Canis lupus familiaris: one gene and its partner. The protein of the gene in region 1 purifies or fractionates together with the protein of each later gene. This does not show direct contact. Links are inferred from orthologs where the notes say so. Each region holds a gene or a part of one and is shown in the gene's direction. Other genes may lie near its edges.

Evidence for each region.
Region 2: the proteins of ASPH (region 1) and LRRC59 purify together in Homo sapiens (co-immunoprecipitation; 3 studies listed by BioGRID and IntAct, with this or other methods). This does not show direct contact. The link is inferred for Canis lupus familiaris from reciprocal best matches to the Homo sapiens genes ASPH and LRRC59.

The regions. Positions count from the first base shown.
Region 1 is NC_049250.1:12,482,953-12,486,773, reverse strand, and holds part of ASPH (aspartyl/asparaginyl beta-hydroxylase), read left to right. Parts: intron 1-3,483; coding exon 3,484-3,633; intron 3,634-3,821.
Region 2 is NC_049230.1:26,308,338-26,312,158, reverse strand, and holds part of LRRC59 (leucine-rich repeat-containing protein 59), read left to right. Parts: intron 1-389; coding exon 390-548; intron 549-749; coding exon 750-854; intron 855-3,821.

The DNA.
Region 1 (3,821 bases):
GGTGCGTGCATTTGTGTGATTAAAAAAAAAACCTTTTTGCACTTTTTACTTGTATTTGGTGTTGCAGGTCAGTGACTTAGTATTTGCTGAATTAACTTGGATAAATGAAGTCTCTGCTTTTGAGAATCTAAGAAAGTTTCCTTCTCTGTTTCTGCTTAAAGAAAGATATGGAGATAGAATTAAAGTTTGAATTCAAATAATTATTTTGGTTCATTAGCTATTTCATTACAAGCTCATTTTAAATTATGAACCCAGATGCCTGGGTGGCTCAGTGGTTGAGTGGCTGCCTTCAGCACAGGGTGTGATTGCAGGGTCCCAGAATTGAGTCCCACATTGGGCTCCCTACGAGGAACTTGCTTCTCCCTCTGCCTGTGTCTCTGCATCTCTCTCTGTGTGTCTCATGAATAAATAAATAAAATGTATAAACATAAATAAATAAATCCATATTTGGAGGTAAATGGATATTCCAGAAGGCATTTTCCTTATTATAATCAGTACACTGTGTAACCGTTTTGTATGCATATATTTGTATGCTATATAGAAATCAGGGTTGTTTTTTTTTTTTAATATTTATGTATTTGATGGAAAGAGAGAGAAGGGGTGAGTACGAGTAAGAGGGCAGTGGAGGGAGAGGGAGAGAATCTCAAGGAGACTCCATGCTGAGTGCAGAGCCCTATGCTAGAGCCAAAATTCCTGAGCCAAAATCAGGAATTGGAAGTTTATTTTTTTTTAAGATTTTATTTATTTATTCATTCATGAGAAAGAGAGAGAGAGAGAGAGAGAGAGAGTGGGAGGGAGGTAGAGACACAGGCAGAGGGAGAAAACAGGCTCCATGAAGGAAGCCTGACGTGGGACTTGATCCCGGGACTCCAGGATCATGCCCTGGGCCGAAGGCAGCGCTAAAGCGCTGAGCCCCCTGGGCTGCCCAGGAGTTGGATGTTTAATTGACTATGCCCCCCAGGCACCCCAGAAATAAAGATTTTTTTTAAATACAGCATTGAAAAATGTCTTCATGTGCACAGAAGTTTTAATAAAGTAAAATACAACATTGCAGTGAATCTGTGGTACTCCTGTCTACTCTTTTTTTATTTTTTAAAATTTTAATGATACTCTATATTGTTCTTATAATATTTATGCTTAAGACACACAAAAGTATGGGAAATCATCATTTTCCCCCATCAGCATTGCTGAAGTTTTCATCTAGTCTCGCTGCCCCATGACTGTGTTCAGATAATGAAACCGTAAAGCCTGTTTTAATTGAATTTAACATGTAATGTTACAATCTATGCCTTGTAAGAATTTTTTTAATGTAAACATTTGATTTTATGTAGCCAGCTTTTAGGAGATTTTTATTTATTTTTTATTTTATTTATTTTTTGGAGATTTTTAATACTTTTTATACTATATTAGAAGCAGATTAGATAGTCATGTGTTATTTGGTAAATATTCTTTTGTGAATTCACCCTATAACTATAAATCTGGCCCTTTTTGATAGGCCTATTAATATTTAAAGAACATTAGAAAAGGAAGTTGACTTTTTCATTAAGAATGAAATTTGTCTTGGGATCCCTGGGCGGCGCAGCGGCTTGGCGCCTGCCTTTGGCCCAGGGCGCAATCCTGGAGACCCGGGATCGAATCCCACGTCGGGCTCCCGGTGCATGGAGCCTGCTTCTCCCTCTGCCTATGTCTCTGCCTCTCTCTCTCTCTGTGACTATCATAAATTAAAAAAAAAAAAAAAAAAAAAGAATGAAATTTGTCTTATATAGTCATGATTTTACATACTTAAATATGGATATATAGATAAAAAATGTATGTACTTGAATGTGTACACACACACACACACACACACACTCTTGCTTTCATACCAATTTAGTTTTTATGGCCCCTTTTGAAAAGTTGATCTAGTGGTTGTTTAAAAAAAAAAAAAGTGTATCTTTTTAGTAAGACTTTCATTTCCTTTTTTTTTTCCCCAGAAGATTTGGCTGTATATCCTTGATTTGAGCCACTGGATACTACCACCAGTATTCTATAATGAGAGTTAGATTTAGGGGTGAGAAAGCAGGTTCTAGATTAGAGCTAGTGAGCTTTTTTAAAGGCATGTAATTTGGCCCACTCACATGGATCTAGGAACTCAGGACCATAGAAGTTAGGGTTAATGCTCCTAGCTCTACCCAACTTGTGCTGGGGAGTTGGAGTAAATCATTTAATGTTTTTTCTATAAAACAGGGATGATTGTTCCTGTCCTTAACCCCCAGTGGTTCTGAACCAGTCACTACCTTGGAGAGGACACTGGGAAAAGTTTGGGGATACTTTTGTTTGTCATAATTGGGGAGCTGCTTACCTTTGGGACCCGAGTAACCAGGGATGCCAGTTGCCCTGCAGGGTGAGGCACAGTTACACAGGATAAGGAATTGTTCTTTATAGGCATTCAGAAACAACCTCTTGAGATACACTGGCCAGACCTGTGTGAGAATCACATGCAGCCGTGCACATGGAAGCACTTTGAACTACAGGACACGTGCTCAACAAAGAGAAGACCGTGTCCTGCTATACTACCCGGTTGATAAACTTTTCCTTTTCTCAGAGGTTATTTGGGAATAATACCTATCCTTTTAATAATATTTATTATGTTCCTTTTCAAGAGAAATTTGAATACTGTGGTCCTTTCTTTTAAGGGCAGTGTTGACTTTCCATTAGTATCACTTGACTATCATTATTTTTATTTACTTTTGGCTGTAAGAAGACTATTTCCAGGAGAATAGCAAATGTGATAAATGACACTCAGTGGACCACAGTATACAGAGCTGTTTCCTGTATTGAGACCGATTGTGAATGATGAGCCTTTTCCTGTCTCCTGCCTCCTCAGGCCCTGGTGGATCTTGTAAAGGAGGGGGGCTGATTGTTGTACTGTTTTGTTTCTCTTCTTCCCTGGCCTCTATTTCCTATAAATAGTTTCTTTCCTTCTTGTGTCTCTCTCTCTGGCTAAGAATATGGAGTCATTTTGTGGGGAGATATTTCTCTGGCCATTAACCGGCTTTTTAATTTCTGGAGACAAATGGGTCAGAGAAAAGGTTGTGACATTTCTATGTGACTTCATTAAGTTGTTGATATTCACTGAACTTTGGAAGAGGTTATATGTAGGTGATTTGGATAAAGAACTTGGAAGGTTATAGATTACATATACATGTTATATCAACCTTCATTTTTAAAAAAATTGTTAGCCAATGAGTAGTTTATTTTTCTCATTACTTCTAAGTCAGAGTTTTATATATGTGGTGTTGAGTCTAAGCAGAATCTTTTTTGTTTCAATTTTTTTTTAATGCAGCATCTTTTGAGAACTTGAGTGAAAACTATTTTTGAAATGATTTACCATTGTAAGTACTTTCAAATTACTGGAGAAATAATTCAGCAAAAAGAGGTGTTCAGTTACATAGTGAACTTGTTTACATAATGACATTGTTCACCTGTTTTATTTTTAAACAGAGACAAAGCATGGAGGACACAAAAATGGGAGGAAAGGAGGACTTTCTGGAAGTTCATTTTTCACATGGTTTATGGTCATTGCATTACTGGGAGTCTGGACATCAGTAGCTGTCGTCTGGTTTGATCTTGTTGATTATGAAGAAGTTTTAGGTAAGAATTTTGGTATCGTTTCTTAGGTGAATTTGTAAGCATGAAGGACATTCTTTAGTAATCTTAAGATTTATTATTTTGGGGGTACTCTTAATTTCTGTAGACTTTCAGTTCTCAATAGGGTAGGAACAAAAGAGAATGTTATTAGGGTTACCTGGGAGTAGTGGCTTTTCAACTTCTTCAAACAT
Region 2 (3,821 bases), on another chromosome or scaffold:
TACCACAGAGTACTTGAGAGGCACTTGATCTTTTTGGGGAAATGGATGGTCATGCTGTGCTTTGACCACTCCTGTGAAAGGAGAACATAGGGTGCTGTGGGGGGACGGGCAGGGCCTCCTGTAACAATGTGGAGGATTGCCTGGGGGCGTGCACAGAGCATGAGGGAACACACTTATTCTTGTGCCTACTTTGTGCTAAGTCCTTGTATGTACACATCTCACTACTTACCAGCAGAAGTGCTGGGTGTTGGCTGCATCTCCATCAAGGTGGAAGAGCGGATGGCAGGTAGGGTCAGGGTTTACAGGCAGTTGCCTCTGCCTTGAAGGCTTCTGCATCATCATACCGAGATGTGAGCCCATGGCTTGAATGTTGTCCCTCTGGGTCCTAGGCGGAATTTTGTGGCCTCACACACCTGGTGAAGCTGGACCTGAGTAAGAATAAACTGCAGCAACTGCCGGCAGACTTTGGCCGTCTGGTCAACCTCCAGCACCTGGATCTCCTCAACAACAGGCTGGTGACCCTGCCTGTCAGCTTCGCTCAGCTCAAGGTAACAGTGTTTCGTCCTAGGGGGGTGGAGCCTGGTTGTGAGAGCGGCTGGCAGGAAGACCTCTCGTTGGTGCCACCTCAGAGGGATGGCTTTCCCTGCAGCTGGCACATGCAGGGGCTTTCTTCCTGCTCATTTTGTCTACCTTGAGGGACTCTGTGTGTGAACTTGGGCTTGAGCGGCCTCTCTGTCTTCTCTCTTCAGAGCCTGAAGTGGTTGGACCTAAAGGATAACCCCCTGGACCCTGCCCTGGCCAAAGTGGCTGGGGATTGCCTGGATGAGAAGCAGTGTAAGCAGTGTGCTAACAAGGTATGCACGGAGCTCCCCAGCATCCCCTCTGCATGGTCCCCTGGGACTCATGTCTGCCTCCTCTTGCTTTTCCCTCCCAGGGCACCTGGAGCTGGGAGAGGTTTCCAGCACTAAGGTCTCAGTGAAATATGTCTACTCTGAGCCTGTCAGGCAGAGGGACCTTTGTCTCTGGGTTTACTTTACAAGAAGCAGAACGGTACTGGCTTCTCTACTGTAAAATTTTTATTTTCTAGAAACCAGGACCTTACCTAATCAATCCAACATTACACCATTGACAGTTCTTTCTTTTTTTAAAGATTGTTTATGGGACGCCTGAATGGTTCAGCGGTTAAGCACCTGCCCCTGGCTCAGGGTGTGATCCTGCAGTCTTAGGATTGAGTCCCACATCAGGCTCCCTGCCTGGAGCCTGCTTCTCCCTCTGCCTACATCTCTGCCTTTCTCTTTCTGTGTCTTTCATGAATAAATGAATAAAATCTTTAAGAAAAAGGATTATTTATTTATTCATGAGAGACAGATTGAGAGAGAGGCACAGAGACATAGGCAGAGGGTGAATCAGGCTCCATGCAGGGAGCCTGATGTGGGACTCGATCCTAGGACTCCAGGATCATGCCCTGAGCGGAAGACAGACACTTAACCGCTGAGCCACCCAGTCGTCCCTTGACAGTTCTTTAAATGGGACGAGAAGATTAGAGACTGTGGCCTTTCTGAGTCATGGTTATTATGACAAAGAAGTTTTGTTAATATTTGTAAGCTTATACCTGTAAGCAGACATATCCTAGGCAGATGGGACATGTGATTTCAGTCGAGTCGTCTGATGCAGGAGCGAGGAATAAAGGCAGTATGGAAGGCAGAAATTATCGGCAGCCCTAAAGGTGCCTCACACTGCTGCTCTCTCTCTCTCTCTCTCTCTCTAAATATTTTATTTTGAGAGAGAGAACATGCACGAGCAGCGAGGGACAGAGGCAGAGGGAGAGAACCCTAAGCAGGCGCCATGCCGAGGCTCAGTTATACAACCCTGAGATCATGACCTGAGCTGAAATCAAGAGTTGGACACTTGACCAATTAAGCCCCTCAGGTGCCCCATGCCTTGCACTGATTCCTTTTTTTTTTTTTTCCCTTGCACTGATTCTTAAGCATCTCTCAGATGCCAGCTACGGTCACTTTTTCCCTCCAGCTTTGGAACAGCTGAGCACCAGATGGCTTACTTGGCCATATTTAGGAGGCATGATGAACAGAAAGGACTTGAAATCCTTTCACTTTAAATGATAGAATTATTGGAAGTGAAATGTGGGCATGGTGGGTCTCTAGATGAATCTCAGGAATAATGGCCTTTCTTTTCATTAGTTCAGGGCGTCTTAGAAAGTCTCATCATGTATCTCACCCATTGTCACAGGAGACCAGGTACAAGGTCTGGGCAGCCAGGTAGCCACGGCAACAGCTGGCCTATAGCTGAGAACAGTACAAGTGATAAGTGAAGTCCTGGTGCTTTAGGAGTGATGTCTGTTCTGAAGAATAGCAGGAGCTGTCACCCACCACTCTTCCTTTGTCCTGCATGCTTTATGCTTCACCTCATGATCCTCATAACCCTGTGAAGTAGAGCTCACTTCCATTTCTCTGATATAAACGCTCACTGTGCACACAGATTTCATTTATCCGTTTATTCATTCAACTAATATGCTAAACTGTATGAAATTGCTGATGCTCCACAAAGATCATTTTTATTGAGCACAAAGATCAATAGCATATTGATAGCTATATATATTGATAGCAATAGCATATAGCTTCCAGACAGAGCACTAGGTAGGACACTGCATTGTGGGTATGGTAACTGAAGCCATGCTCCCTGGTTCCTCAGCCTAGTGTGGCCTCCCGTAGCACACTGAGGAGGCATAGTGGAGTGGCTTGGGCTGGCTAGAATGAGGTCACTTGTCCCCTGGGGTTAGTTTAACCCTCAACAGCTCTGACCTTGTATTGGTGCATGGGTCATTTGCAGTAACTGATAAGCTTCGTGCACAGTACAGCACCTTTTAAAAATAACTTGTTAGGGTCACCTGGGAGGTTCAATGGGTTAAGCGTTTGCCTTCGGCTCAGGTCATGATTGATCCCAGGGTATTGGGATCAAGCCCCACATTGGGCTTCCTTGTCGGTGGGGAGCCTGCTTCCCCCTCTCCCTCTGCTTGTGCTCTCTCACTCTCTTTGTCAAATAAGTAAATAAATAAAATCTTAAAAAATAAAAAGAATGGGCAGGCAGCCGAGGTGGCTCAGCGGTTTAGCGCCACCTTCGGCCCAGGGTGTGATCCTGGAGTCCCAGGATCGAGTCCCATGTCGAGCTCCTTGCATGGACCCTGCTTCTCCCTCTGCCCGTGTCTCTGCCTCTTTCTTTCTTTCTGTCTCTCATGAATAAATAAAAATCTTAAAAAAAAACATAAAATATTTTAAAAAAGAAATAACTTGTTAGCTGGACAGTATTTAACAAGTGCTTACTGTGTGTTGTGAACTGGGATAGGCAGAAAGAATTGGCCTTCAGGGGCTCCCAGTCCAGAGCAGAGGAATTGCTCCCATTTTTGAGCTTGCTGTGTTGTCAGATAACTCTTGATGCATTGGAGCACAGGAAATGGGATGTCTCTTAAGCCTCTGGGCTCTTTATTTAGCCACCTGTACACCCCTTAAAACCACCAGAATGGTTGGTGCTTAATATTTGGAGTTCAGAGTGAGACAGGGACTTTGAACTGGGGCCACCTCCCACCATCAGGCTTGACCTTCCAACAGATCCTGCACTCCTTTATTGAGTGGCCATTGTTTAGTGAGGGTGACTCCCTTCCGAGAAGTTGCAGCAGGTTCAAGGCCTGGATGGCCCATGACAGGGTTCCTCGTGGCTTCAAAGCAGGCTCTTGCAGGGAGCCCAGGAGGTTAAGTCACTTGCTAAGGTCACACAGGAGCAGTAGAGTCAGGATTGTGCTGGGCTCT